4 linked regions of the Diceros bicornis minor genome follow. The protein of the gene in region 1 interacts with the protein of each later gene in a pairwise test. Links are inferred from orthologs where the notes say so. Each region holds a gene or a part of one and is shown on either strand. Other genes may lie near its edges.

The links.
Region 2: the proteins of EDA (region 1) and EMP3 interact in binary tests that used the Homo sapiens proteins (3 or more experiments, as listed by UniProt). The two-hybrid records come from large-scale screens. The link is inferred for Diceros bicornis minor from reciprocal best matches to the Homo sapiens genes EDA and EMP3.
Region 3: the proteins of EDA (region 1) and myelin and lymphocyte protein interact in binary tests that used the Homo sapiens proteins (3 or more experiments, as listed by UniProt). The two-hybrid records come from large-scale screens. The link is inferred for Diceros bicornis minor from reciprocal best matches to the Homo sapiens genes EDA and MAL.
Region 4: the proteins of EDA (region 1) and SEC22A interact in binary tests that used the Homo sapiens proteins (3 or more experiments, as listed by UniProt). The two-hybrid records come from large-scale screens. The link is inferred for Diceros bicornis minor from reciprocal best matches to the Homo sapiens genes EDA and SEC22A.

What each region holds. Positions count from the first base shown.
Region 1 is NC_080781.1:63,071,336-63,078,705, forward strand, and holds the start of EDA (ectodysplasin-A), read left to right. Parts: upstream 1-4,369; 5' UTR 4,370-4,560; coding exon 4,561-4,956; intron 4,957-5,165; coding exon of another isoform or gene 5,166-5,294; exon of another isoform or gene 5,295-5,675; intron 5,676-7,370. UniProt on the Homo sapiens protein: Cytokine which is involved in epithelial-mesenchymal signaling during morphogenesis of ectodermal organs. Functions as a ligand activating the DEATH-domain containing receptors EDAR and EDA2R. May also play a role in cell adhesion.
Region 2 is NC_080773.1:24,036,790-24,044,182, reverse strand, and holds the start of EMP3 (epithelial membrane protein 3), read right to left. Parts: upstream 3,015-7,393; 5' UTR 2,909-3,014; intron 1,829-2,908; 5' UTR 1,814-1,828; coding exon 1,736-1,813; intron 1,433-1,735; coding exon 1,330-1,432; intron 460-1,329; coding exon 319-459; intron 1-318. UniProt on the Homo sapiens protein: Probably involved in cell proliferation and cell-cell interactions.
Region 3 is NC_080779.1:17,291,597-17,299,477, reverse strand, and holds the start of myelin and lymphocyte protein, read right to left. Parts: upstream 3,012-7,881; 5' UTR 2,937-3,011; coding exon 2,844-2,936; intron 1-2,843. UniProt on the Homo sapiens protein: May be involved in vesicular trafficking from the Golgi apparatus to the cell membrane. Plays a role in the maintenance of the myelin sheath, and in axon-glia and glia-glia interactions.
Region 4 is NC_080754.1:24,275,170-24,282,807, reverse strand, and holds the start of SEC22A (vesicle-trafficking protein SEC22a), read right to left. Parts: upstream 3,017-7,638; 5' UTR 2,975-3,016; intron 2,933-2,974; exon of another isoform or gene 2,685-2,932; intron 342-2,684; exon of another isoform or gene 1-341. UniProt on the Homo sapiens protein: May be involved in vesicle transport between the ER and the Golgi complex.

The sequences.
Region 1 (7,370 bases):
GCCATTCTGACAGGCATGAGGTGATATCTCATTGTAGTTTTGATTTGCATTTCCCTGATAATTAATGATTTTGAACATCTTTTCATGTTTCTGTTGGCCATCTGTGTATCTTGTTTGGAGAAATGTCTGTTCAGGTCTTTTTCCCATTTTTTAATTGGGTTGTTAGTTTTTTTGTTGTTGAGATGCATGAGTTCTTTATATATTTTGGAGATTAACCCTTTATCAGATGTATGCTTTGCAAATATCTTCTCCCAATTGTTAGGTTGTCTTTTCGTTTTGTTGATGGTTTCCTTTGCTGTGCAGAAGCTTTTTAGTTCGATGTAGTCCCATTTGTTTATTTTTTCTATTGTTTCTCTTGCCCGGTCATCATCTCCTTTTGATGGAAGTCTCTTAGACGGCAAAGACTAACATTTACTCTGCTGTGCCAGACACTTTGATATATAGCATCTCATTTAAGCACAGCTTTCTTACAAAGCATATGTTGTCATTTCCATTACACAGATGAGAAAACTGAGGCTCTGAAAGACAGGCAAAAACTACTTGTCCTAGGTCACACAGCTGGCAAGTGAATACGCTGGGATTCAAACCAGGATCCAAGTTCTAAGCCCATGTTCCTCTTGACTATCTATCTGCTTATCCCTAAGTGGGTCAGAGAGTCAACTCTCTGATATCTATGATTTGTTCTGTGGATTAACCAGAGCTAAGAGGTATTTTAAACCAGTCCCTGCCCAACTCCTTATCATATTCTGCCAGAAGTTGTCAACTCATTTTGAATATTTATTATTCAGGTATTGTCAACTAATATTGCTTTAATATTAGGCCCACACATACAAAATCAGGAAGGGAAATTTTATAGGCCAGAAAACCAGTGAAGTACTACAAACCAATTATATTTGAATTTCTGGATTATTTACTTTTCTGGATTTTCCACAACTCCAACAGTAGGACAAATAAGAGGATAATTGCACAGTTGCCGTTTGGTTCAATTTCCTTGATATCTTTCCATAATGTGTTATACAGCTCTGCACACAGTAGGTGCTTCATAAGTGGAAGTGACAGGCATCCGCTTGGCCCAGTTCCCTTTTTGGAATTCTAGGTAGTCTAAGTTAACCATCTCAGACTTCATGCCCCATTCATTTGACAAACAATACTGGTGCCCACTATGTGGTAGCTGCTATGCTAGGTACTAGGACTGCCAAAATGGAAAGGACATGGTTTTTACCATCAAGGAACTCACAGTTTAGTGGTGAGAAAGCATGTGAAAAAATAAAAACACAATGCAGTAAGTGATATCATTGAGATATGCTCAGGGTGCAGTGAAAGCATAAAGGAAAACCTGTTTGGAGTGAGTTGTGGGGCCGCATCAAGAAAACACATGATTTGATTCTTGAAGAATTTATCAGGTTTCCCAGGTGAGGGCATTCCTGGCAAAGAAATCGGTTTGTGCAAAGACACAGAAGTGTTAGAAGTGTCAACAAATTTAGTATTGTGGTAGCATGGGTTCCTTGTAGGACAGCAGAAGATGAGGTTGGCCAGGCAGATTATAGGTCATGCTAAGGAGCTGATATTTTGTCTCCTAGAGTGCTCGGGGCCAGACAGATAAGGTAAATGAGTGACAAGGACAGTAATGGAGACTAGAGGAAGCAGATGGGGATGATTGTGCAGAACTTGCTCACACTTGTTTCAAGGGGGCAGTTCTAGCTGACTGTAGCCATATGGGAATGTGGATCCAGTGTTGGCAGGTTTTCTTATTTTTTAATAGAGCAGCAGGAAATCTGGATTTTTTTTTTTTTTTTAGTGAGGAAGATTAGCCCTGAGCTAACATCTGTTGCCAATCCTCCTCTTTTTGCTGAGGAAGATTGGCCCTGGGCTAACATCCATGCCCATCTTCCTCTATTTTATATGTGGGATGCCACCACAGCATGGATGGCTTGATAAGCAGTGCATAGGTCCTCGCCTGGAATCTGAACCTGTGAACCCCAGGCTGCTGAAGCAGCACGCACGAACTTAATCATTAGGCCACTGGGCCGGCCCCAGAAAATCTGGATTTTTAATGTGAAACCTCCTAATTTCTAAATGCTGGCAAGTATTTTTTTTAATTCAAAGTTTTAGCCAACATTGCACCAAACACAACACCTCCATTTGCTGAATGTGGCCTGCAGACTGTCATTTTGATATCTGTGCTGTAGGGGATGGAGTACTTATGGAAGCATAGAAGCTAACTGAAGTAACACTTCAAACACTTTTAAAAAATAACTACATACATTCCTCACCGGATTGCCGCATTCCAACATTTCTACTGCATATGAAGTCATATGTTCTTCCTCCAGGGAACCAAAGTGAGGTCCCAGGTCAAATGCAACTTGCAGGGCTTCTGAGGGCAATGGTGCAACTCAGAGTCTCAGTCATCCTGGTGAAAGGCTGGTGAAACATGGTAAGCTGAGACCAGTAAGGCCCCTGAGCACCACCTCCACTACCAGGAGATGGCTGTTACTTGTTCCCTTTTCACTTTAGGGGAAGAAGGGACAGCTTTTTTGAACTGTGTATGTAACCAAGTCAACACAGCCAGTGATAACACAGATAAAACACAATGTTATAGCTGTTCAAGTTCAAATTCGTCATTTTACAGTTGGAGAAACTAAGGTCTCAAAAAGCACAGTGACTTGCTCAGAGTGACCCAGAGAGAGCCAGTCTAGAATTTCTAGACTGAACAAGCAGGATTTGAGATTAGCTGTTAAGCGCCCTTTTTTATTTTCTTATCTGCATGATGATAATATTCTTTGCAAACTTTATATTTCATGGGTAAGGGCCAACGAGGGGACACAAAGACGTTTCTGAAGCACTGAGACCCTTCACAAAGTGTCTGGAAGAAAAGTTGGCTGTGGCTAATATATTTAAGGTTTATGACCTCTCTGCACTCTGGACTGACGGCTCTACCATATGCTTTGTTTTTGTTTTGTTGTTTCTCTTCTTTTGTTTTCTTTTCCATTTCTCCCTATTTTTCTTCTTTCCCACCAGTCTAGGTCTTAGGCCTAGCCATTTCAAGTCAAAAAAACTGCTAATTATTCATAACATGGGAATGAGAGTGCATGGTGACAAAGAAGCATACATACTTCTCCTGCTATGGTCATTCAGTTCTCTATAATCTCAGACTAGTGAGTCTTGTCAATTGTGACTCAATTAATCCTTTCCATCCTTCATTTCAGGGTCTATTGTTCTGACATTTTCCACTTTTTTTGTTGTTTTTTGCTGTGAACCCTTTTCTGATTGGTGCAGCTGTTGAAGATGCTGCAGTTGAAGCAGTGTACATCTGGAACATTTGGCTGACTTGTTGAACTTCCCCCAGGGACTACTCCAGGGAGAGGAGGGGGGTGTGGAGAGGCCAGAACAGTTGCCTGCAAATAGAGATGCCGATATTGTCTGGCCATTCTGTGGACCACCCTTGTAAAAATCCACCTCATTCTGGTCCTCGGTTTCCCCATTTTCTTATTGAAGGCACGTGTTCTCCACTCAAAAATCCTGCCGCGGTGGAAGAAGAGAAACTATACTGGCTGTGGATTCTCTCATACAGCAGTTTCTGCATTGCAAAGAGATCAATACATATTTGTTGAATTAATTAATATATCAAGAAATCCTAGTGGATTGTTTTACCCCGGGTGGGGCAACATCACTTCACTCCCACCTGACACAGGTGGGTTTCTCCGTCACTTAGATTGAGGCCCCAGACTCACTGTAAGAGTGGGGCTGCCTCAGTCCCACCCCATTCTCACTCCCTTTGGCTCTCAGGCTCCTGGGTCTCTCTTTCTTTTGCCACGCCATTGGATTGCAAACACAGCAGGCATGGTTTCATTCCAAACCCAGAGCTGTTTTAATTAGTTTAACGTCTGTTAAATGCTTTGAAGATTGAAAGCAACAGATAAGTACTGGATGATGTTATTAACAACTGCAGTTAATTGCAAACATTTCTATTAATACTAGTTTCTGCCTCCTTTTCTTTGCTCTACTTTCTCTCCAAGGTTCCCAAATTCTTCTCAGCCTCCCTCTCTTCCCTCTCCCCTGTACTGGCGCTACAGGGTTAAATTGGGGCGGAGTCCAGGGATGAACGACAGCGGCAGTCACCAACTGGAACCGGGCAAGCGGGAAGAGCTGGGTGGGGCCGCCAGGCAGAGGCGAACCCACACGCCCCCAGGTCCCGCCCCGCGGCTGGAGGCCCTGGGTGGAACGGCCGGGGGCGGGGCGCCGAGGCTTGGCGGGCCCGGTGGTTGGGTGTCCCGGCAGCCGCTTGAGGGATGGGGCGGGTCGGCCCGGGCCTCCTCCCTCATTCTCTCCGAGGGCCAGCCGCCCGTCTCTCCCGCCCGTCCTCCTCCCTTTCCCACCCCTCGAAGTGGAGCTGCACATGCGGCTGCTCCCTGCTCCGTCCCGCCCAGCGCCCGTAGCGCAGGAACGGGTCCCTGCAGCCCCCAGCCGATGGCAGGACAGTAGCCGCCTGTCAGGGGTCGTGAACCGCTGAGGCAGACGCGGCGGCTCCCGGGCCTCAGAGAGTGGGCGTCTCCGGAGGCCATGGGCTACCCCGAGGTAGAGCGAAGGGAACCTCTGCCCGCGGCAGCGCCGCGGGAGCGGGGGAGCCAGGGCTGCGGCTGTCGCGGGGCCCCTGCCCGGGCGGGCGAAGGGAACAGCTGCCGGCTCTTCCTGGGTTTCTTTGGCCTCTCGCTGGCCCTCCACCTGCTGACGTTGTGCTGCTACCTGGAGTTGCGCTCTGAGTTGCGGCGGGAACGGGGAGCCGAGTCCCGCCTTGGCGGCCCCGGCACCCCTGGCACCTCTGGGACCCTCAGCAGCTCCGGTGGCCTGGACCCTGATGGTTCCATCACCCGCCACTTCGGGCAGCCGTCACCTCAGCAGCAGCCCCTGGAACCGGGAGAAACCACATTCCCCCCAGACTCCCAGGACGGGCACCAGGTGAGTCACCTAGTAGGGGTGGCGGCGGCAGAGGCCCCCTCCCCTTGTGGGCAGGGCGGGGGCCCTCCCCCACAGGGCCCTGGGGAGGACTCTGCCACCTCGAGCTAAGTTGGAGGGTAGGACCTGGGAGGGGGCAGGCGGGCGTGGGAGAGGTTGCCCCGGGGCAGGTTGTCCCCGACCCCTGGCTCGGCTCACCCAGACTCTCTCAGGACCCCAGGACTTGGGAACTCTGGCCTGCGCCCGCCGTCCCCGGCTACAGGCTGCCTCGGGAAAAGTTGGCTGCGCTCCCGGCCGGGCCGGGGGGCGGAGGTGCCGGCGCTGCCCTTCTGGCGGACTAACGGCAGCAACTTGGCCCTTCTGCTCCTGGTGAGATTCTCTGCCCGCGGTGCTTGTTTTTTCGTGCCCAGAGCTGATGCCAGCACTAGCAGGCTCTCCTTTGGTGTTGGAGCTGTAAACAGCTGTAATAAATGCTCCACGCCGGTTGAAACAACTTTTAATCGTATTTTCAGCGCGGATCTTTCTGCGCTGACCAGAACGTGGGCTTGCTCACACTTACCTGCAATTTGAGACTGGTTGTCCTCAGTGTTCTAGTGAGGATCAGCGCCCCTGAGGAATTCTGGTAGAAATATGCCGTCTTGCTAGACAACTTCTGAACAGCAATTTAAAAAAATCTATGGAAATAAAACTCACCCTTTGCATGCCAGTTCTGACTCTTTTTTGGGGGGTGGGTAGGGAGGGGGCGTGTAACGTGCCTTCGCTACTGCTAGCTTGAGACCAGGAATCTACTGATGGAATAATTACTCAAGAGTAATCTCTCAAGAGCAGTTTTTGCAAACTTTATGATGTTTGTGCCCTTGTTAGCAAACTATTAGCTTTGCTGCTTGTTTTCTACTTTTTCTAGCTCCTTATTCAAGTAAATCTAGTGCACTTAAAATAAGTATTCTCTTGACTGCCATATTTTGTCTTATGTGAAACTTGAGAAGCATCTAAGAATCCTTTTGAGGTGGTTAAAGAATAATAGTGAATTTGTTCCTCCTGGCGAAGAGGGCATGTTGTGCAAATAATTTCCTTGAGGTCAGGGACCCAGGCCTTCTATATTTTCTACCACATCCAGAATCATTGTCATACTCTGCAAACATTATTTGTGCTACCTTGACCACCCATTCAAAGCTGCTATCACATTCATGATAATACTGTAATGTTAGGACTCACACATTTTCTACATTGTGCATTGTAAAGTTGCCCTGAGCCTTAAAATGTCTTGCTAGCACACTCCAACTTATATAACAGCCTATCAAAGAAGAGAATCAGTAGACATGCTTCTCATACTTGAAACTTTAAACACTGTAGCTAAATGATAATTAACTAGGATTCTGGCTCCCTTTATCTATCAACCCCCTCCTCCCCCAACAATGCCCAGTAGAAATACTTAGCAGCTGAACATTAATATTCTGTGAAAAGATGAAGGAATTGAGCTTCCTTAGTCAAATGATGGCCAAGGCTTTTTGGCATTCAGAATAGACAGACCCATGTTTATGGACTGAAGATTAGCAGGACAATTGTAGTCTAGGGCTTCTGTGATGGTGTGAGACTCTCACAGGTCTATAATGGCATTTAGTTACCTGTCTTTTGCATGGCACTTCAAATAGTTCTGTCTTGGTTTAAATACAGCTCCCTATTGTCTATCCTTTATTCTTTGTTTTAATTTTTTTGAGCAGTAGACGCAAGCATACTGGCTCTTTACGTTTGTTGACATCAATTAGAGTCAGAAATTTTTAGAATTGTGAGGCCACATGAGTCCGTTTTGTTTGATCCCCTTGCCCTGAGGGGGAAGTGACTTGTCCAAGGTCATGCAACTATTGTCAAAATTAGAATGGAAGTTGATATCTTGACTCCCAGATCAGTGCCCATTCCCCTATAGCATACTACCTCCTGGAGCCTTTTTGGAGGGAATAGGGTGGAGCTCCATAGTAGAATTTTTACAAAGTAGAAGGCTCAGATCTGCATCATTTTCTGCTACTTTACCTACATTTTGGCCAGACTAAGTTTAACCATGTATCCTTATTCTTCCTGAATTTCACTTTCAGGAGAATTGGAGTATGCTTTGAAGAAATTTTAGCCCAGATTCAACTTAAGTTTATCTTGAGGATATTAGTTTTAGCATACCAAAAAAACAAAAAAAAGGAAAAGTTGATCAGCTATTAGAGATAAATTGATACTGCTACACCTTGGGTAAAATTTCTAGTGCCCTGGTGCACCCTCTGCTGGCTTTGCAGGGACATTTAATTTCAGTATATGCTGACAGTCAAGATTCTAAGTTATACCGACAGATTCTGATTCATAAATAAGGAAATAAACAGCCTTGTGGGATTTGGCCACATAGGTCATATTTTTATATTTTAGTTTTTCAACAC
Region 2 (7,393 bases), on another chromosome or scaffold:
ATTATGACTCAGAGTTCTCTCTTGGGGTATTAGTTAGCCACCTACCAACCCCCCCCATCCCTGGGATCTAAATTATTTGTCCACACCACCTAACCCCATCCCTGACTCCTTGAAGCTCTAAGTGCCAGCTCCCCCATGACTCAGAGACACCACAAACCACCACTGAGTCCCTGAAAACTACAGCTCCCATAAGTCCCTTGGGCAGAAAGGTAGCCCATGGAGGCACCTCAGGTGCCAGATGTCCATTCCCAGGGCCCCCAGCATCCTGACAGCCCCCCTCCCCCGCCTTCCCTCCAATCCCTAGGGGAGAGTGCTCACTGGTGCAAAGCTGGCAGAGGCCAGTGGCATAGAAGAGCCCTCCTCGCCGCATGGTGTAGAGTTGGAACATGAACAGGATGAAGGACAGACAACAGAGGATGAGGGAAAGCACCATGAGGACCTGCACCGCCTTCAGCCAGCCTGCAGTGAGATAGAGGTGGAAGTCACAGCACGTCCAGAGTTCCAGCTCCACCTGCTTGCTCATTATTTGCCCCCCCAACCCGTCTCCCACGTAGAGCCCCACAACCTTAGATACTTAGGAGTATCACGTATATTGACCTTGATTCCCGTAACTGCTAAACTCCCTTATCAGTTCTAGAAGGTGCTTTGCAGATTCTTTAGGATTTTCTACAGAAATATATCCACTGGGAATAGAGACTTTTACTTCTTCCTTTCCCATCTTTATGCCTTTTATTTCTTTTTCTTGCCTTGTTGCATTGGCTACCTCCAGTGCAATGTTGAAGAGAGGTGTGAAAGTAGAAATTCTTGCTTTGCCCTTAGGAGAAAAGCATTTAATCTTTCACCTTCTTTCACTTAGAAATTTCGATGGATGCAGCTCTGCCCCTTTAAAGAACTCAGATGCATCCAACCCCACTCCTTTAGAACCTTAATGTGGTTCCAGCCCCACCTCCTTGGAACTTGGTCAAATTGGTCCCAACCATCCATTCAGAACACCAGTCCCATCTCCTTAGGACTCTGGAAACATAATTCTATCATCTAACAATCTTGGGAGCTTTCTCCCCATTCCTTAAACCTATAGCATGTGGCCTCCACTCCTTCTGAATCATGAGGGAGGGGGGCATTTGGCCCATCCTCTTTAGAACATGAGCTTTTTTCCCCCTATCATCCAGAGAGGTGGGTTGGTCATACATCAGCTCCACTCACTCAGCATTGGGACCCAGACCTTCCCACTCAGACCTTGGGGGGTTCCCAATCCTCGGTCCTGGGAGGAGACCTGGGGTTACCCCTCCCCTTTGCAGACCAGCCTCCCCGACACCCCTCACCCCTCACCGTTCTCGCTGACGTTACTGCAGGCCCAGGTTTTGTTGTCACTGTTCCACGTGCAGTCGTGCCAGAGGTTCAGGGACTCCTTCCCAGGGAGGGTCCACCAGGACTGGGATGGACAGAGAAACAAGGGCAGGAGTAGGGAAGGAAAGTGGGTGGGGTCAGGGAGACTGAAGGAAGGATTAGGAAAAGGGTGAGGTGCTGGGAAGGAGCTGAACTGGGGGAAAGCATGGATTTAGTAGGTAAGGGGGGGTTAGGGGACAGGGCAGAGTGGAGGCATCAGAGGTAGAGCTCAGAGGGGTAGATGCTAGGGAAAAGGGGCAGGGCCAGAGTGACTTGAAAGGAGAGGAGGGGTGTGGTGGCAGTCTGCAGGACAGCGGGAGGCCCTGCTGCTCTGCTCGAGTAGGCTTACCTTGTCCAAAGTGGCCACGAAAAGCAGGATGAGGATGAGGATGTGAAGGGCAGAGACCACCAGCAGGAGGAGCGACATGGCTGCAGTGGAAGCCTGGTATGGGGGACGTCAGGAGATAGTCATTTCAAGAGGTTGGCACAGGGGCAGGTGAGATGCCTGAATGCTGGTGGAGAAGGGGGCTGAGTCCAGACTCCTGGGTCTGAGGGAGGTGGAGGGTGGGGTCCAGACTCCAGGGTCTGAGGGGAGAGAAGGCTGGGGTCCAGATTCCTGGGTCTAGGGGGAGGGTGGGGTCCAGAATCCTGGGTCTGAGGGAGGAGGAGGCTGGGGTCCAGACTCTTGGGTCTGAGGGAGGAGGAGGCTGTGGTCCAGATTCCTGGGTCTAAGGGAGGAGGGGTTGGGGTCCTGGAATCCTGAATTTCCCTTGGGGGTTGGTGAGAGCCAGGGATGGACTCTGGGGTCCAGGAGTGAGTAGGACTAGTGAGGTGGTCCCCTTCTTCTCAGAGCCCTGTCCCTGGGCACGTATGGGCCATGATATGAAATTTCAAGTTGACACCCCTCCAGATTCATCAGAAGCTGGGGGCTGCCCTCAGAGACAGGCATCCTTGACTCACCCCACTCCTCTCCTGGGGCAGGGAGGAAGGGGGACCGGGTGAGTCATCCGGTGACTCATCCCACCCCCTGCCTTCAAGCACCAGGGAAACCCCAGCCCCTGGCTGTGCCCACGAGGTCCCCACCCAACCCTGCTGCCAGACTGGTGCCCTCTGGACATCTTGTAAGGAAAATGGACAAGATCTGTGTTGAGAGGAGATAGCCTGAGGAGAAAGAGCCAACCTCACATGACCTTTCAGTGTCCAGAAAGGGGGGGGCCTGGAGGTCCCCCAGACTTGGGGTGTTCTCATGCAAAGCCCTGATGTCAGACTTCAGGGAGAGTGGAGAGCCGGGGGAAAAAGTGCGGGAAGTTTTCGGGTGGAGCTGTGAACCCCAAAACCTTGCCGGGCTCCACCCCTTCCTGAATCCCCACCCCAAGTGCTACGAGATCACTTCTTAAATTACAGAGATTTCCATGGGGTGGAGAGTCGGGGAGTCTCTCCCAGCCTGGGGGTGACCGTCCCAAACTGTGTACTTCCAAGTAAATAAAGAAATCCCAGTCTGAATAACGGATTGGAAACTTACCGAGCAGCAGAAAAGTCAGAGTTGGAGTCTCGTCCCTCGCTCTGGCCTCCGTGCCCCGCCCTTCTCCTCCCTCCTTCCACCCTCTCGAGGCCCCCGCCTCCCTCCCCGCCTTCCTCCCTCCCTCCCTCCCTCGCTTGCTCGCTCTCCCCTCTGGCTCTCTCCCTCCTTCTCCCCTCCAATCCGGGAACCCTTTCTCTCTCTTTCTCTCTCTCTCTCCTTCTGCCTCTTGTCTCTCCCTCCTGTCCTCACTGCCTATACCTCCTCCTCTCTCTCTTGTCACACTCCTGGTTTCTCCTTCTCTGCTCCTCTCAATATATACCGACCCTTTTATACCCACCCTGACCCCACCCAGCTGAGGTCTGCAGCCAGAGGGAGGGCCCAGGCACTTGGTTCCTCCTTCTCTGGGCCCCCACCCGTTGCCTCCAGACAAGCATCTTCTCATCTCCCAGGGTTGAGAAGTCCTTGGAGCACGCCGGGTGGACCAGGGGCCCTGGGGTGGGGCAAGCGTCAGAGGGTGGGAGGGCCCGAATCTCAGGCCTCCGTTCTGGGTCGCATCCTGGGATCGGATGTCTGCTTTCCTTGATGGAGCTTAGGACTGGATACCCACAGGGATGGGAGTCTGGGGAGGAGGTCAGATTCCTGCCGTGTGCAGTGGGCTGGGGGCTGGTGGAGCTGGTGGAGCTGGCACCACAGTGGGGGTCAGAGGATGGGAATGGGGAAGAGTGAAACTCTGGAAGGCGGCAGGAAGTGGAGGTTGAGAGTCCCAGCGCTACCGTTTTCTGCCTGGGGGTCACCAATTATTTCACCTCTCTGAGCCCTGGTTTCCTAATCTGTGAGGTGGGTACAATAATACTAATAATACTGACAATATACTAATACAGATAATAATTCTGATACTTATTCTAAATGAATAAGGTCATACCAGTACACTAACACACCTAACACGTTCATCCCTTTCTTCATCAAATATTTATTGAACATCTATTTTGAACCAGGAGTTAATAATGAAGAAAACAAATGCGAGCCCTTCTGTTATTATGGAGTCTACCTTCCAGTTTAAGGGAGACAGACAATAAAGAGGAAACATATCACTGAAGCCGATAAATATCACAGAGTGCTAAGTGCTTTGAAGGAAATAAAATAGAGTGATGGAGGTAATGAGGCGAGGCGACTTTAAACAGGGTCATCAGGCGAGGCCTCTCTGAGGAGGTGACATCTGAGCCGAGACCTGAAGGAGACCTGAAGACAGGAGTCATTTGAATGCTGGGAGGAAGAGGAAGTGTAAAGGGCTTTGAGAACAAGCTCAGGTTGTTTGGGGAGCAGACAGAAGGGCCAATGTGGCTAGAACATAGGGAGCTAGAGGGAGGGGTAGGAAGGGAAATCAAAGAGAGCCCTTGAAGCCTAGAGGAGCCTGGATTTTATTCTAAGTGCGGTGGGAAGCCACTGGAGGTTTTAAACAGAAGTGCAATACTGGGGACTTAATGTTAAGTATGATGATGATGATTATTATGTATTCTTGGGATATTGAATTAGGGTGGGGGGTGACTACTATGTACGTGGGTCTCTTGGAAGAGTTGGCTGCTGGTGAAAAGTGAGGTGTCCAGTTGTCTGGGGTCCTGAAGTGGAATTGAGAGCTGGTGGACTGACATCCTGGGTTCCTGCAAAGGAAGAGAGCTGGATGATGGGATGTCTGGGTATCTGATGGGGCCGGAGCTAGGGGGAGGGAGAGTGGTTGGTCATCTGGGCTCCCTGAGGGGGTGAGGGATGGGCACTTCAGTGACTGGGTGGGTACTCGAGTGACCTGGAAGCTGGGTAACAGTATAGCACAGACTTTAGAGACACAGTGGCTGGATTCAAATCCAAGCTGCTTTACTCATTAGCTGTGATTTTGGGCAAGTTACTAATAACCTCTCTAGGCCTCAGTTTCTTTATTTGTAAAATAGGACTAAAAATAGTAAATACCTCATAGGGTGGTTCTAAGAGTAGTCCCCTGGCACAGCACTGTTGTATGTGCTAGTTACAGGAGGCATTGGGGCCCTGAGTGGATTCAGTACTGGGGGACCCCAGATCGAGGACTCTAGGACTTGGGGAAGGGGCAAATTCTTGGGTCCTTTGGGCTCCAAGGCTAAAAGGTTGGGAGTACAAAATGAGGGTCTCTGGGTTGGGAAATAAGTAGTCTCAAATTTAAGCCTTTGAGGACAGAGAGGCTCTGAGCTCAGAACCCCAAGGAAATCAGAAAGTCTGGGTCACTGGGAAAAATTAGGGCCTGGAGCGTCCTCTGCTCTTCCTGGGGTGCAGGCAAAGGGAACCGGACCTAGTCTTGGGAGGAACCTGGGAACCAGAAAAGAGGGAGACGGAAATTTGAGCGAGGGAGGTGGACAGGAGGCTAGGACTTTGAATCAAGTTCCCCGAGTGGAATGAACGCCAGACTTGCGTCTCCTGGGGATGTTCGGGAGTCCCCCATGCTAGGGCCCTGTGGAGGGGAAGAATCAGGGGACCCGGGAGCGGTGGCAGGATCTCCCCCTCCCGGGCCTCCAAGGCTACGAGCTGAGCTGAGCGCCCGCGGGCCGCTTCCTCCCACAGGAAACCGCAGGCGTCAGGCACACCCAGGCTGCAGGGAGCGGCGCCCACTGCCGGCCCGCTGCAGGGAGGCCCACGTGGGGAGCAGTCCCCCGCCCGGGGGGCGGGCCCTGCGGAGCGAGGGGGTGTGGCCAGACAGGGCGTGGCCGGAAGGCAGAGGCGGAGCGAAGCGCCCTAGGCCCCGCCCACTTCCGCCTCAGTGCGCGGACTCCGCAGACAGCAAAGGGTTTTTGGCGGCTTCCCTGGAGGCCGTTGACTGCGCATGCGTAGTGAGCCGTTGTGAGGACCTGAGGTGGTGGTGAGCGCTCCTCCCCCTCACAACTCCCAGCATCCACACCGCCTCCCTGCTAATGAATCCTCAGCGTGGTCTTAATCAGCTTAAGACACGCATCTCTCAGGGCGCGTCCGACAGACTTCGGCCTAGCTCCAGAGCCTTGCAGACGCTTCCCTCCCAGCCCTGCCTCCACAGGCTCTCTCAGCTCCTGCCTCCTCCTCCCGGAAACACACAGCCCGCCCCTCACAGGCCCGTGCTCCCCACACAGACCATCCCCACCTCCCACAGGCCCTCCGACCCTGAGTGCCTCCTGATGAGCCCCGTGCCCCGCACGTCCCGGGAGCCAGCGGCCCTCCTGTGCCCTCCCACCGGACCCCTCGCGTGTTCCTCCAACCACGCCCCCGTAGCCCCACAGCCCCCACCCTCCTCTTGTACCTGTGCCCCTCCCCTCCCAAGGCCCCGCTGTCTCGCCCCCTACAGGGACCCGTGCCCCTCCCCTCCCAGGGCTCCCAGCAGGCCGCCCCCACATGGACCCGTGCCCCTCCCCTCGCAGGCCCCCGACCCCGCCCCCTACAGGGACCCCTGCCCCGCCCCTCCTAGGGCCCCCCAAGCCCCGCCCCCTACAGGTCCCCGTGCCCCGCCCCTCGCAGGGCCCCCCAGGCCCCGCTCCTGACAGGGACCCGTGCCCCGCCCCTCTCAGGGCCCCCCAAGCCCCGCCTCCTACAGGTTCCCATGCCACGCCCCTCGCAGGGCCCCCCCAGGCCCCGCCCCCTACAGGTTCCCATGCCACGCCCCTCGCAGGGCCCCCCAGGCCCCGCTCCTGACAGGGACCCGTGCCCCGCCCCTCGCAGGGCCCCCCAAGCCCCGCCTCCTACAGGTTCCCATGCCACGCCCCTCGCAGGGCCCCCCCCAGGCCCCGCCCCCTACAGGGACCCGTGCCCCTCACCTCGCAAGCCCTTCCAGCAACGTCCCTCGCAGGCCCCCCACTGTCCGGCCCTTCATTGCCCTCCTAGCCTCCACTTTCCGACCCCCATAGCCCCACCCCTCGCAGACCACGCCCCTTACAGCCCTCCTAGCCCCGCCCCTTGGAGGGCTCCCCCACGCGTCTGTTCAAAGCGCCCGGGACCCAGCACTTGCGGCCTCCTCGGCCCCTCCTCCCCAGCCTCCCCTCCCGCGCCCTCTCCGCGCTGCCTTGGTCCCTCCCCGGCCGCGGTCCTCAGGCCTCATTGGCCCCTTATCTCCGCAGTAACCAGACCACAACAGTGAGCTTGAAGCGCCGAGGACAGGTCGGGCACTCCAGCAGGTAGGGCCCGGGCCTCGCCCCCCACAGCCGGCCGGGGCTTTCCCCTTCCTTTGTGACCCCTTCCCCAAGCAGCCCCGCCGCAGAGATACCGAGAGTCTAGGGGACCTGTCCCCCGCGCCAGAGTCAGAGCCGCGACGCAAGACAGCATGTGAGAGGCGGGAGGTCGGGAGGGGTGGGGGAGAGGCCGGAGAGGGGACCCCTGCAGCCCACTGGAGGAAATGAGACTCAAGGAAAGGCCAGAGGTGTTCGGGGTCACCCTCTTCCAAATCCTACCCCCTCGCCGTTCGTCGCCCACTCTCCTCCGGGCCCTCTCCCGCCCGCTGTCTGA
Region 3 (7,881 bases), on another chromosome or scaffold:
CAGTACTTCATTCCTTCCTACGGCTGAGTAATACTCCACTGTGTGAATATATCACAGTTTGTCCATTCCTCCGTTGATGGGACACTTCAGCTGTTTCCACCTGTTGGTTATCGTGAACAGTGCTGCTATGAACACGCGTGTACACGTACCTATTCAGGTCCCCGCCTTCAATTCTGTAGGTTATAAACCCAGGTGTGGAATTGCTGGGTCATATGATAATTTTTTTGAGGAACCATCAAACTCTTTTCAACAGCAGAAGAACCATTTTACATTCCCACCACCAATGTATGAGGGCCCCAATTTCTCCACACTCTGGTCTGCACTTGCTATTTTCCAGTTTTTTGATAAGAGTCATCCTAGTTTCATGTGAAAGGGTACCTCATTGTGGTTTTGATTTCATTTTCCTAACGATTAATGTTGATGATCTTTTTGATGTTGAGTTTCTTTTCATGTGCTTATTGGCCATCTGTATATTTTCTTTGGAGAAATGTCTATTCAAGTCCTTTGCCCATTTTCTAACTGGCTTGTTTATCTTTTTGTTGTTGTGTTGTAATAGTCCATAATTTAAAAAAACTCTCCCAGGGTGGCCAGTGCCTCCTCGGGCCCTTCAAGTCTCTGTTCTTTTACACACCAAAGCACATCCCGCTTCCCATGTACAATCTGTGCAGAGGAAAACTTAAAGGAATGGTGTCTGCTTTTTTTCCTGTTCTCCCAGGCATCCCGGGACCCATCCCCAATCTAGAGAGGAAGAAAGAGTTTGGAGGTGACAACTGAGGTGTCCAGCATCTCTCAGGAAGTAGGAGGGAGAAGGTCTGCGTCTGGAGAGCAGGAGCTGAGGGGGAGGAGTAAAAACAACTTCTATGACAGCTGAGAGCAAAGTGGTCTGGGCAAGGGAGAACTATTTCTTGTAGAAGCCTCTACTATTACAGGTCACAAAACCGCCCTGGAGGAGTAAACTTCCACTACTCCATGGCTCTGAGATTTCCCACACCCCTGCTCTCTCCTTTCACTTGGTAGGATGGGTGGGATCCTTCCATCCCCTCCCCCACAGATCACCCTGCCTGGCTGGGCTGTTCCTACCCCCAGGAGCACTCCTTCCCCTAGGCTGGGATGCCAAGAGGAGTCAGCGGGCACTGGGAGGCTGTCCCCTCTGTGAAGCCAGGCCCTCCACACCTGCTGCCACCTGAGCCAGCTCTTGTGAGGGCAGGAGAAGGAGGTGCACCTGAGTCTTTCGCATGAAGCCCTGCTAACGCCCTCTCTCGTGATTCTTGTCACAATGCTCCCTGAACAGCTACAAAGGCAGAGGAAGCCACTCATTAGGGCAACTGAAGAGACACTAGGAAGACTTCTTGTTGCTTCAAAATCTCTCTGCCCCATCACACCTCACCATCAGCCATCATCTCTTTTGGTCATGAAACTCTGCCTTTGTAAATACAGTGGCCTCTGAAGGAACACCCACTACTTACTCCCAGGTCATGCGCACTGTGTGCTCATCTTCAGAAATCAGCCTTGGACAAGCACAGGCCAAATGCTGAATAGATGCACCCAGAGGAGCCATTTGGGGAAAGAATGTTCCAGTGGGTGCAAGACCCTCCCCACTCTGGGCCTGATTGTCCCTATCCAGAAATGGTGGTAGTGGTGTCCAGGGTTTCTTCTAGATGTCACTCCTTGATTCTGGCTAGCCCCAGGACTTAAAGTCACTATGGGTACATGCAGGTGTGAGCTCAACTCAACTCTCACAAATGCAGTGATTTGGTGCCACCCCACAACCTCGGTCCCTTAGCCCTTTCCCCAAACTGTCCATGGATGACAGAACCTGCTCCTTTGCTGTTCACACCCTCCGCCTCCAGTCAGGCCATAAGAAGCTGGAGTCCCTTTTTAAACAGTCAGATTTGGACAAGCTCTTTTCCAGCCAACTCTTCTGTGGGATGCAGGGAAGGGAGGTGCAGGAAAGGAGTCTCCGCAGCTGCAAGGCTCTGCACCCACAGTATACACACAGCACATCCTCTCCCAGCTGAGGGCCTGTGGCCCCTGGGGAGTTTATGCTGAGGGTGGTCTGAAGCGTGGAGACACAGTGAGCACTTTACCAGGAGCCCAGGGTAGGAAGCGCTTTCCCGCTGCCACCTGCACTGCTGTGTGGCTCCAGCCTAAGGAGGGACCAATGTCAGGTATGGAGGCCTTCCCATTTCTCAAGGTCAGCCAAGGCAGAGGACAGCTCTCACCAGCCCCCTCCCTCCCCTCACTCCACACACAGGGTGGAATGACTGTGGTGCAGCAAATGGTGGCCTGTTTTATTATTTTTCCAGATCAAAGTTGTTGCAAATACGTTCTCTCGCCAGAAACTTTCAATGGTCAGAAGAGAATCATCTGGATTCAGCTCCTCCTACACCAACCCAATCCCCAAACCTCGGTTGGTGATGCTCAGGTTTCTTTTGCTGATTTTTGTAAACGAAATCCTAACCCTGGAGAGAGCTGGGCGCCTCTACAAGGACATCGCTCTCCAATAAGGGCTTCCTCTGCGCGGCCCGTGTGAACCGGGTGGGGAGCGCACCTTTGGAACCAGCGTGACGAATGGACCCTGGCCCGCTTCCAACATCTGCCCCATGCTGCGAGTTTGGTTTTTCCGCCTAAGTCCTGGAGACTGTTTCCCCCACTGTAGTTGGTCTAGAAGGGGCCAAACGGCTGGGGTGGGGGGAGACTGTCCTTATCCTGGCCCAGCTATCCCGATGCTCCCGGGACCCCACAACTTGTGGATCTGGTCCAGTCGGCTGTGCGGAGCCCCCGCTACAGCGCGCGGCACAGCCCATCCCGCCCCCGCCCCAGCTCCGGCGCCAGCTACTCACAAACTCAAAGATGAACAGCAAGTCGGGGAAGGTGGTGAAGACAGCGAAGCCGCTGGGCAGGGTGCTGCCACTCGATGCCGCTGTGGGGGCCATGCCGGCGTGCTGGCGTCGGCCTGGGGACAGGACGCGCGGCTCGCCTCCCGGCTGACCTCTCGCTTGCTCGGCGGAGCCCAGTGGCCCCGGCGCCCGCCGGCTTGCGGGTTAAGAGCGGAGGCGCCCGGGGCGCAGGAGGGAGGAGCCCGGGACACCGCCACGCCCCGTCAGAGCTGGCCGTGCGCGCCCCAAGGGACCCGGCCAGAGTGCCTAGGGCGCCGCCCTGAACCACCCTGAGGGCGCCCAGCGGGCGTGCCGGGCTGGAGACGGGGACCTGACTCCTGCGTCCCACCTCCGGGTGCCATCTCCCGTGGGGAGCAGGAAAAAGACACTTTGACGAAGCGTGTCGCACGCTTTGAACTCTTCGCAGGGGATCACCATCCCTTAAAAACGATAACCATCAGTAACTAGGCTCTCCAAACTCCCCACCCTGTCAATCCTCAGGTCACCATTGCTATAGCTATTCTTAGGTTGCGTCTTCATCTTTCCACTGGGTGGGTTAGTATATGTGACGTCCGCATTCAGGCTCACGGTGGGACGAGGTCCTACTTCTGGCCGCAGCTGCAGGCTGGGGTTTGCAGGGGCGGCGTTGAGACCACCTCTGACCACCACCCCTTCTCCCCGCGCCTTTGGAGTCCGGCGCCAGGAACCTTGCACCCGGGGTCCGCTCCACTGCGTGCTGGAGCTTCCAGTTTGTCTGTTTGAGGGTAGGAGGTTTCTCTCGGCCCTGTCAGCCCCAGAGGAGGGGTGGTGGTGGTGCTGGGGCAGATCTGCATGGAAGCCAAGAGACAGGAAGGGCCCTCCTTGAGCAGATCTATGCCCTCTCTCAGAGGGGGCAGCTCTGCGCCTCTGCCGTGCCATGACTCCTCCTCCCCATGTCCTATGACTACCTGTTGCTGCTGGGTTTTTGTTTTCTGGACCACGATTTCTTTATTCTTTTTTTAAAATTATTTTATTGAGGTCATGTTGGCTTATAACATTGCATAATTCCAGATGTACATTATTATGTAACAGTTTCTGTGTAGACTGCATTGTGCTCACCACCAATAGTCTAGTTTTCATCTGTCACCATACATATGTGGCCCTTTACCCTATTCGCCCTCCATTTACCCCTTCCCCTCTGGTAACCACTAATCTGTTCTCCTTATCTATGTGTTTGTTTATCTGCACGTATTAGTGAAGTCGTGCAGTATTTGTCTTTCTCTCTCTGAGTTGTTTCACTTAGCATTATACCCTCAAAGTCCATCCATGTTGTTGATTTTGTCTTTTTTATGGCTGAGTAGTATTCCATTGTGTGTATACACCACATCTTTATCCAATCATCCATTGTCAGGCACTTGGGTTGCTTCCACATCTTGGCTATTGTAAATAATGCTGTGATGAACATACGGGTGCATATATCTTTTTGAATTAGTGTTTTCGTGTTCTTTGGATAAATACCCAGTAGTGGAATAGCTGTATCATATGGTATATCTATTTTTAATTTTTTGAGAAATCTCCATACTGTTTTCCAAAGTGGCTGCACCAGTTTGCAGTCCCACCAGCACTACATAAGGATTCCCTTTTCTCCACATCTGCTCCAACATTTATTTCTTGTCTTGTTAATTATAGCCAATCTCATGGGTGTGAGGTGGTATCTCATTGTAGTTTTGATTTGCATTTTCCTACTAATTAGAGATGTTGAACATCTTTTCATATGCCTGTTGCCCATCTCTATATTTTCTTTGGAAAAATGACTGTTCATATCCTCTGCCTATTTCTTGATCAGGATGTTCATTTTTTTGTTGTTGAGTAGTATGTGTTTTTATATATTTTGGAAATTAACCACTTGTCAGATACACGATTTGCAAATATTTTCTCCCAGTTAGTGTGTTGTCTTTTCATTTTGTGGATTCCTTGCATAAGCTTTTTAGTCTGATGTAGTCCCATTTGTTTATTTTTTCTTTTGTTTCCCCTGCCTGAGTAGACATGGTATTCAAAAAGATACTGCTAAAACTGACGTCAAAGAGTGTACTGCCTATGTTTTCTTCTACGAGTTTTATGATTTCAGGTCTTACATTCAAGTCTTTAATACATTTTGAGTCAATTTTGGTGTATGGTGAAAGATAATGGTCTACTTTCATTCTTTTGCACATGGCTGTCCGGTTTTCACAACACCATTTATTGAAGAGACTTTCCTTTCTCCATTGTATGTTCTTGGCTCCTTTGTTGAATATTAGCTGTCCATAGATTTGTGGTATCACACTCTCGGAATTCAAAATATACTACAAAGCTATAGTAATCAAAACAGCACAGTACTGGCAGAAAAACAGACACACAGATCCATGGAACAAAATTGACAGCTCTTTATTCTTTTTTGACTGTATTTTTAACAAGTATCACACTTTGGTAGTTTGCCTGTTTATTTTAATTTACATACTATTACTGAGTTTTCTCTTACAAGTCCTAAAGCTAAAAATTGGCCCACAGTCCAGTGCCTGCCCCCAGGTCAGACTCCCCAGAACTACTGTGGCTTCACCCACAGCCATAGCGGGGCAACAGCCCCCCTCTCTCCATTGGGACCCTCACCTTTTCCCCTCTACACAGCTCTTTTTCCTTCCCAGTCCCTATGGAGAAAAGTAAATTCCTGGACACATTACCAAAAAAAAAAAAAGATCCATGCCCATGAACTGTCCATTCTGCCCACTTATGGAGAGGGACCAGGCATTTGAAATGAGAAAATCCCACTGCACCTCTGTGAGCCTCTGCGGGGCTGCTGGCCTTGGTGGCCTGAGACCCAGGGAGTCCATCTCCTCCCTCCTCCTGAGGAAACTCTAGTGGGGACGAGCCACAAGCCATGCTCAAGTAAATCCATCCAAAGCTGTTCGGCAATTTCTGTGTCAGTATTCACTAATTAAAACACACAAAGGTCTTCTCACCTCTTAATAATCTCTTCTCCCGGCCTTGAGGTTTTTTGTTGGTTTGTTTGTTTTTTGGTTGGGTTTTCTGCTGTTTCAAACCTGTGTTGCTAAATTCCTCAGGCTGGGCTGTGACTCTGGGGAGAAGGCACAGCCCCCTGGTGTAGCCCATGAAGCTGAGCGGCCCCAACCCTCCTTTGAGAAGGCCTAAGAGGGCACACAGGACTTAGGAAGGTCCCTTTCTCTGTGACCCTCATCTCACCTCAATCCTTTGCTCGATGTTCCTCTTCCTGACCACACTCCACCCTCTGCAGGGCAGCCCCACCCCACCCCACCCGCTTGTCTCCTTCCTGCCATATCACGTCCTCGGTGCCCAGCCAAGACCCCAGCCCACGCACGGTGCTCAGTACATATCATCCACTGCCAGGATGGACCCAGCCTTGTCCGTGCTTGACTGCCTGAGGAGGAAGTGGAATGACTCTGTGTGAACGGAGAGTATTGTCAGTAGAGACGGGTGTGTCTTCATGTCACAGAGCTTCCCCAGGGTGCTCTGGGCCACCAGCTGATGATTTAGGTGGTTCATATGTATAGGGAGACCAGGACCACACTTTGGCTTCCAGCAGGATATGAAAACACAACCTCAGCCGATAGTAACTCATTGCAGTGTCCTCGGTCTTCCTAGCTGCATAGTGGGTGTGACTGTAGGGGTCAGTCTGGGGTGGGTCTGGGGCTTCTGTCAAAATAATAACATGGTCTAGGGTGGGTTTCTACAAAGTAGGAACTAGAAAGCGACATTTGCTGTGCCAGCCTGATACTAGAAGAGGTCATCTCCAGTTTGTGTGTTCAGAGGAGAGAATTGGGTGTGGGACAAGAGATTAAGGGAGAGAGACCTGTTCAGGGAAAGATTCCTGGGGCAGGTCTTGCCAGTAAATAATAGTAGGTGTGATTTATTTTGGGGTCTGTAGAATGACTCCCATTTTACTTATGAGGTGATGGAGGCTCAGAAAGGTTGAGTAGCTGCCGAAGGCCACACGGCTGTGAGTGGTGGAGCTCGGCCTTGACCCTGAGTGATGCTGTGCCCCCAAAGCTGCAAGCGCTTGATTAAGACCATGCTTAATGGAGGGATGATGGATAAGGAAGTCGTGGTATATATATACAGTGGAACATTATTCAGCCATAAGAAATGAGAAAATCCAACCATTCCCAACAACATGGATGGACCTTGAAGACATTATGCGAAGTGAAATAAGTCAGGCAGAGAAAGACAAATACTGTATGATCTCATTTATGTGTAGAATCTAAAGAAACAAAAAACAACCACAAAAAAACCCACCCAACTCATAGAAAAAGAGATCAGACACGTGGTTCCCAGAGCAGGGGGCTGGGGGAGGGGGGATTAGAGGAGAGTGGTTACAAGGTACAAACTTCTGGTTATAAGATGAACAAGGACCAGGGATGTAACGTGCAGCAGGGTGACCACAGTGAACACTGCTGGATGAGACACAGGAAAGTTGTCAAGAGAGAAGATCCTGAGAGCTCTCACCACAAGGAGAAGTTTTTTTTCTTTTCTTTTTATTGTATCTATATGAGATGACAGATGTTCACCAAACCTACTGTGGCAATCATTTCACGTATATGTAAATCAAACCATCATGCTGTACACTTTAAACTAATATAGTGATGCCTGTCAATTATTTCTCAATAAATCTATGAAAGGATTCAAACAATATAAAAATGAAAAAAACATGCTGAAGATGGACAATTGCAATCAAATGGCATGTTCCGTGCAGACCGTCGGCAGCCACCCAAATCCAGTCTTTGTGCTAATCTCAAATGTGGTGCTGGGCACTGGATCCCTGAGGCATCTCTGCCCAGCTGACAGGGCTCTGGACCTTTCCTCTCCTGACTGGGGACACAAGGTCGGAGGTCATCATCCCCATTTATGGACGGGGAAGCTGGGTGAAGGCCCGAGTTCAGAGAGCTACCCTGGGCCAGCGCTGACCCAGAGGGAATGTATTTGTTTAACAATCTCCCGCAGCCCTGGATTT
Region 4 (7,638 bases), on another chromosome or scaffold:
TTTAGACAGCAGCAGAAAACTCATAGGGAATCTTAATACTGGCCTGTATATCCTTTCCCCAATGGCAACAGCCAGAGGAAAAAGCCCAAACTAGAATCTAGGTAGGTCTGAGTAAACATTTATCTAAAGGCTGAGGAAAATAAACTCCCACAATGCCTAACTACTATAGCAGTGGTTAGCAACCTTTTAGACCCAAAACTAGATACTGACCTCTCTTCTTCAGAACCTTGTGGGGTAATGACCGTGAGCCCAAAGTACCAGGAAGGCACTCTCTCAAAAAGTAATAAACAAAACTCAACATACAAGTATCTTTTATATCTACTTTCCAGCAAGAGGCTTTCATAAATGCCTCTTTCAAGATAAAAACATTTCATATTGGGTTAATCACCTATATTTATTTTAGTTCATTATTTCCCAAACTTCAGCCATCCAAGTACCATTTTCAGAATTCTTACCACATCTGCATCCCACCTGTACTATTATTTACCTAATATAGGTCTTTCAGTTGACTTATTTTTTTGCCTTATCCTTAGCAACAGTATCTGTGAAATCAGTTTTGAGGTGTTAAGTTGTCCTCTTCATTTAAATTAAAACAAATAGAAGACTTTTTTTGTTTCTTTCAAATGTGTATATGTGAAAATTTTTGGAGAATCTTTTTTTTAAATGTTCATCTGCTCATCATTCAAATTGTCTTGCATATCTGATGGTACCAAAGTTTGGGAAACACTATCTTGGTATGTATCACTTTATTAAAAGTGCCAGCTGAGATCTGTGGGAACTGGGAACGGGGGCGAGTATTTGAGGAGAAAGCTATACTAACTGTGATGCAAGAATGAGTGAAAGGGAAGACGTTACACAGCACAGGTTAGCAAGAAGGCACTTTGGAGACAGCACCAGTACCAAGGACAGCCAGAGTTTATTCTGCAGCTTTGCCTGGGCCCCCACCTCACCAGCAGCCTTTGATAGTCCTATTACAGGTGCTTGTACTGCACAGTCTGTGTAAGACCTCAGGCTCCAGAGTAGATTATACCCACATCTACGAACAGGGCCCCCAACACATGCACAAATGTGTCTCACCCCAACGTGTGTGCAGCACCTCATAGTCTACAAACAGTGAGGTAGCTATAACCTCCATTTTACAGATGAGAAAACTGAGGCCCCCTTTTTCAATATCACCCTGCTAATATACAGCAGAACTGGTGCTTAAACCTAAGCCTCTTGTATCTCTACATCACTGGGCTATATCAGTCTCCTAAAACCAACAAGGGGCAAGAACTCAGTGATACAGAAACTATCTAGCTACGCATTTTGAAATAATGATAAAAGATCAGCTTACATTTTCTTTAAGAGGCAGTATAGTATAGTAGTTAATAGGATGGATTCTGGAGCCAGATTGCCTGGGCTCAAAAACTGGCTCCATGAGGTACTGTGTAAGCTTGGGCAAGCTTTGCCTTTCTAAACTCAATTTCCTCACGGGTAAAATGTGGCTACTAACAGTATCTACCTCATAGGGACATGTAAAGAACCTGAAACACTGCCTAGCAGACTAAAAGTGCAATATTAAGTGTTTGCTGCTATTATTATTTATTGACTGCCCTCTATTTACCAGGCAATTTATACACATTAACCTCACTTAAGCCTTCCAATAAATAACCTGTGAGGTAGGTATTATCAGTCCTATTATACCTTTGAAGAAATTCAAGCTCAGAAAGGTTAAGCAATTTATTCAAACCCTAAACTAGCAAGTGGCAGATTTAAACTCAGGCCTAACTCTACCCACTCAAAGAGAACATTGCCTCTCAATATATCCAAGCTTCTTATTCAACTACATAGAGAGGAAGGTCACAGGCACCCCCTTCATAAGACCTGGGCTTCTTTCATACACCAATATAAAATATACTTAGATTTTTAAAAGTCGGTCATACACAAAAAAAAGCGCGCTAAACTGATATTACGGTTCTCAACATAGTAAATGCCCAGATGTCCCATTAACTTACGACAAGGTCACAGATGTCAGACTCAAATACTGACCTACAACTTTCATATCCCAGAAATTGTAGATACTGTTTAAGGTACTGCCTAATTCCTTATAATCTCAGCTCTGAGCAAATGCCAGTACCGCGGAATGGGATTCAGAGAGTTTTTAAAAGTGGCTGTTCCAGCTGTTAGCGGGGATCCCAACATCTCCCTCAGGGGCCTGACACTATAGCCCCGGGCTTTGCCTCGGCTGGACAGGCATGGGAGGGGCCGGTTCTCAAGTTCCCCAACTAAGGAGCAGGAGACAAGTCCAAAGCTGTTTCCACTGGCAGAGACTCAAGCTGGCTGGGGTTCGGTCTCCTATTTCGGAGCCATCTTCCACCTTTCAAGCCAATTGCTCAGGTCTCCTTTACGCCACATCGTTCCCCAAGTGCCATTAACAGGGCCTCAAGAGGTTCCGTGAGCCAACGCGGCCAAACCTCGGCTCCATGCCCGTTCCATCCCTACAAAACGCAAAGCCAACCACTGGTTCAAATCCCACCCTGCTGAAAAGAAATAGGAAATGCCACGTCAAACTCTCTGGGCCACCTAAGCAGCCCAGGTGGTCACCGTGTTTCTGACACCCGGGGCCAGGGAACGGCCCCCACCGCTGGCAGCCCAGAGTGACTGTCCCTCCCCCTCAGGCCCCCTGCCGGGCTGCCCCCTACCCAGGGCAGGTCAGCCGAGGAGCAACCGCCGCCCGCGCGGCCCCCACAGGCCGCTCACGACGGAGGTGACGAGGTCCCCGCAACCCTGCCCCTCCAGGGCTCCGCGGCTCCAACCACACCCGGCTCCCGCCCCCACGGCACGGGCTTGGCTCCTGCCCGGGGTGGGTCTGTAGTCGCGAGGGCGAGCGCCGGGGCCGTGGCAGGAGGCAGGAGACCGAGAGGAGCGGCCGGCCACGGTTCGAGCGACCCTGAGAAGCGAGGAACGAGGACTGGGAGGGGCAGAGCCGTACCTGTCGAGCCGGGACCCGCCGCTCCGGGTGACGCGGCCCGCGCTGCATTGTGGGCCCGGGGAGTGGCCTTTCCGCGGGGCAGCCCCGCGTCCAACGTGGCTGGCGCCCGGCGGAACCAAGCCCCGCCCACGTCCCTCGGCTCGCCCAGGCCAATCAGGTTCTGTGGGAAGCACACACTGCCACGCCCCCTCCCCGCGCCCGAGGTAGTCCCGCCCCCTGCAGGAGACAAGAGCAGCCTCTCAGGGCACCTGCGTCAAGAGATTGCAAAATCCTCTGGTGACAGTCTCTGTGCTTTGCCTCAGAAATAAGGCTAAACTCTGCCGCCTGCCACCAGTATCTGGAGGCAGTTTGTCTCACACGCGGCCCTACAGCAAACACTTATCCAGGGAGCAGGGGGCAAAAGCCCCCTTTGAGTGAGCAAGAAAAGGACCTGCCCCATCTACCACCCCACGCAAGGAGGCACCTGACCTTGGCAGAGAAGTGCCAGATGCTGGCCCTGCAGCCCCTTCCAGCCTTTGCATTAGTCATGCATTATTAAACAAGCACTTACTGTCTACCATGTGCCGAGCACCGGGTTAGGCATTGGGTTACAGGGGGTGAACATAACACTGGGTGGAATCTAAGGCATACTAGGAGCAAGAGACATTAAAGCATAAATCATTACATAATTAAAAATTGTGATCAGGACTATGAAGGAAAATTAAAGGGTGCGATGATGGATTAATTCTGGACTATCAAGGAAGAACTCTTTGAAGAAGTGCCTTTTAAGCTCCAGGCATATGAAAAAGCCTTAAAGAATGTTCCAGGCCAAGAGAGCATTATGTGTGAGGTTACTGGGGCATGAGAAAACTTGGTGTGTTCTAGGAATTGAAAGAAAACCAGTGTGGTTGGAGTTCAGGGAGCAAACTTGGGCTGAGATGAGGCAGAGGCCAGACCATGCAGACTATTATTGGCCACATTATAGATTTTAGACTATTTTACAATGTATCCTAAGGTCAAGGGGCAGCTAATAGAGGGTGTTAAGTAGGATCTAATTTACATATTTAAAAGCTCACCAGGCTGTTTGTGGGAATAGTTTGGAAGAGGGCAGGAGGGGTTGCTGGAAGGCCAATTTGGAGGCAGTTGTATTAGTCAAGGCCAGAGATGATGGTGGCTTGAGTTAGGGTAATGGCACCAGAAACAGAAAAAGTTGGATAATTTTGAGACATTTATAAATTGGAGGTGGAATTCAAGGGACTTAATAATGGATTGGCTTTCCAGGAAGGGTAAAGAAAAGAAGAGCATTAAGAATGACTCCTTAAGAAACTAGATGGATTAAGAAGCCATTTACTGATTCAGGGAACGTAGAAGGAGGAGCAAATGTTTTTAGACATGTTAAATTTGAGATACTTATAAATGGAAATGTCAAACAGATTTGCATATGTAAGTCTGGAGTTCACAAGAAAGGTTTGGACTAATTATATAAATGTGATGGTTGTTGGAGTGGGTTAACTCTTAGGTATAGCCACAACAGAAATGTATTCATATGTTCACCAAAAGACTCTTAGAAATTCCACTCTTAGGTATAGCCACAACAGAAATGTATTCATATGTTCACCAAAAGACATATATAAGAATGTTCACAGGATGAATAAATTTTAGAATATTCACATAGTGGAATAATATACAGGAAAGTGAATGAACAGTCTACAACTACACATAGAACGTGGATGAATCTCACAGTCATAAAACTGAGTAAAAGTCAGATACAAAAATTGTATACTACATGATTCCATTTATATAATGTTCAAAAACAGACAAAAATAATTATGGTAATAGACACCAGGATATTGGCTACCCTTAGGTATTAACGTTTGGAAAGGGGCACTAGGGGTCTTCTTAAGAATGTTCTCCTTGATCTGAGTGTTGGTTACACCAGTGTGTTAAATTAATAAAAATTCATCAAGCTGTACACTTAAGGTTTATGCAATTTTTCAGTATGTATTTTATTAAACAATAGAAAGTTTACATTTTATGGGCCGGCCCCATGGCTTAGCGGTTAACTGCATGCACTCTGCTACTGGCGGCCCGGGTTCAGATCCCGGGCGCACACTGAGGCACCGCTTCTCCGGCCATGCTGAGGCCGCGTCCCACATACAGCAACTAGAAGGATGTGCAACTATGACATACAACTATCTACGGGGGCTTTGGGGGGGGGATAAAAAAGGAGGAGGATTGGCAATAGATGTTAGCTCAGAGCCGATCTTCCTCAGCAAAAAGAGGAGGATTAGCATGGATGTTAGCTCAGGGCTGATCTTCCTCACAAAAAAAAAAAAAAAGAAAGTTTACATTTTAAAAATGTTAAAGGTGATCCAGCCATGAATAAGTAACTGGTACCAGACTAACCTTCCCAAAACAAACAGTGGAAAACTGGACCAAATCTATGAAACAAGTGTTTCCAGACATTGGACAACAGGCACAGTAAAACTGTGATCCTGGAGAGAAGGAAAACAAACAATATGAGCCCAAAGAGTTCCCCAGATTTCCTTCTGTAGGTATTTACCTAACCACAGGATGGAAGAAAGCCAAGCAGAATACAGTACTCTTACTAACTGAGGATATAGAAATTAGAATTAGGAAAGATTGGGCAACTAAAATTTGCAAGGCAGAGTACCAGGGAAAGAGCTTTCCAAATATGCACCAGGGGCTTCTTGAATCTTTGGTGTAGGTTTAAGGATAGACTCCATGAGGCTGGTTAAATAACAACTACTAGAGAAAGAAAATTACTGGGGAACTGTAAGCTGAACAACTACTAGAGTGTGAATAGAGTTTGGAAACATCCAAGTTCTGATGAATTGGAATAGAGAAACTTTATTAGACACCTGGGGTATTTGGTAGAGAGACCTCAGAAAGGCCACACTTTAGAAATAAGGCTGAACTAGCCCAAGAGTGAAGGCTATTCTAGACCCAACCAAACCAAGCTGAACAAGCTGATCTGCAAGCAAATTAACTGCTTGCTTGAATGAAACTCAACAGTCTTTAGAGAAAGACAATAAAATCCAGGCACTAAAACATCTAGCACCCACAATGTCCAGTATCCAATAAAAATTACTATACATTGAAGAAGCAGGAAAATGTGAACCATAAGCAGGAGAACAGTCAGTCAATAGAAATAGACCCAGAAATGACACAGATGATGAAATTAACAGATAAGGATTTTAAAGCAGCTATTATAAGTATGACCAAGAATTTAAAGGAAAACATAAATATAATAAGAGAAATGGAAACTATAAAAGAACCAAATTGAACTAATAGAGCAGAAAAATACAATAATCTGAAGCAAAAATTTTATTGGATGGGCTTAAAAGCAGTTTAGACACTGCAGAAGAAAAGATTCATGGACAAGAAAACAGTGCAAAAGAATTATCTACACCAAAGCACAAAGAGAAGAAAAGTTGAAAAGAACGTGAACAGAACTTTGGTGACCTGTGGGGCAATACCACGTCATCTAAAACATGTGTAATCAGAGACCCAGAAAGAGAGGAGAGGAGTTAAAAATATTTGAAGAAATCATGGCCAAAATTTTTCTAAATTTAAAAAGAAATATAAACTGCAGATTGAAAAGAGCAAACAAACCCCAAACAGGATAAACACAAAGAAAGCCACACCAAGACACATTACACTCAAACTGCTGAAAACCAATAATTGAAAGAAAATATTAGAAACAACCAGATAAAAAGCCACATTGTATGTAGGGAACAAAAACAGGAAGTACTACCAACTTCACATCAGGAAGAATGCAAGCCTGGAGATAATGGAATAAAATCTTTAAAGTCCTAAAAGAAAAAGCCCTGTCAATCTAGAATTTTATATCCAGCAAAAATTCTTTCAAAAAGTGGAGGTGAAATAAAGGCATTTTCAGACAAACAAGAGATGAGACAATTTGTTACTAGCATACCTGAATTATAATAAATGCTAAAGAAAGTTCTTCAGATTAAACACACATGATTCCAAATGGAAATCTGAATTCACACAAATGGAACAAAAAGTGTGAGAAATGGTAAATATGTAAGTTAATATAAAGATTTTTCCTTCTTTTTAAAATTTCTCTAAAATATAATTAACCATTTAAATAAAAAATAGTAAAAATGTTCTGTGAGGTTTATGACAAATGAAGAAGTAAAATACACGTTAACAATATAAAGGAAAGGTGACTGGATACATATGTTATAAGGTTCTTACATCATACTTGAAGTGGTATAATTTGACGGTATATTGTGATAAGTTAAAAATATATATCATAGGAGGAATGACTAAAAGAAAAAAAAAAGGTATCCAAAAGCTAATAAGTCAATAGGAAAATTAAAATTAGAATACTATAAAATACTCAATCCAAAAGCAGGCAAGAAAAAATGGAACAAAGAACAGATAAGCAAATAAAAACAAAATAGCCAATATGATAGATTTAAACCCAATCATATTGATAATTACATTAAATGTAAATAGTCTAAATCTTGGAATTAAAAGGCAAAGATTGTCCTAGGGAATTAAATAAAAAGGGCCAATTATATGCTATCTACAAGAAACCCACTTCAAATATAAAGACACAGGTCAGTTAAAAATAAAAGAATGGAAAAAGAAAAACCCAATCACTAATCAAAAGAAAGATGAAGTAATTTTATTAA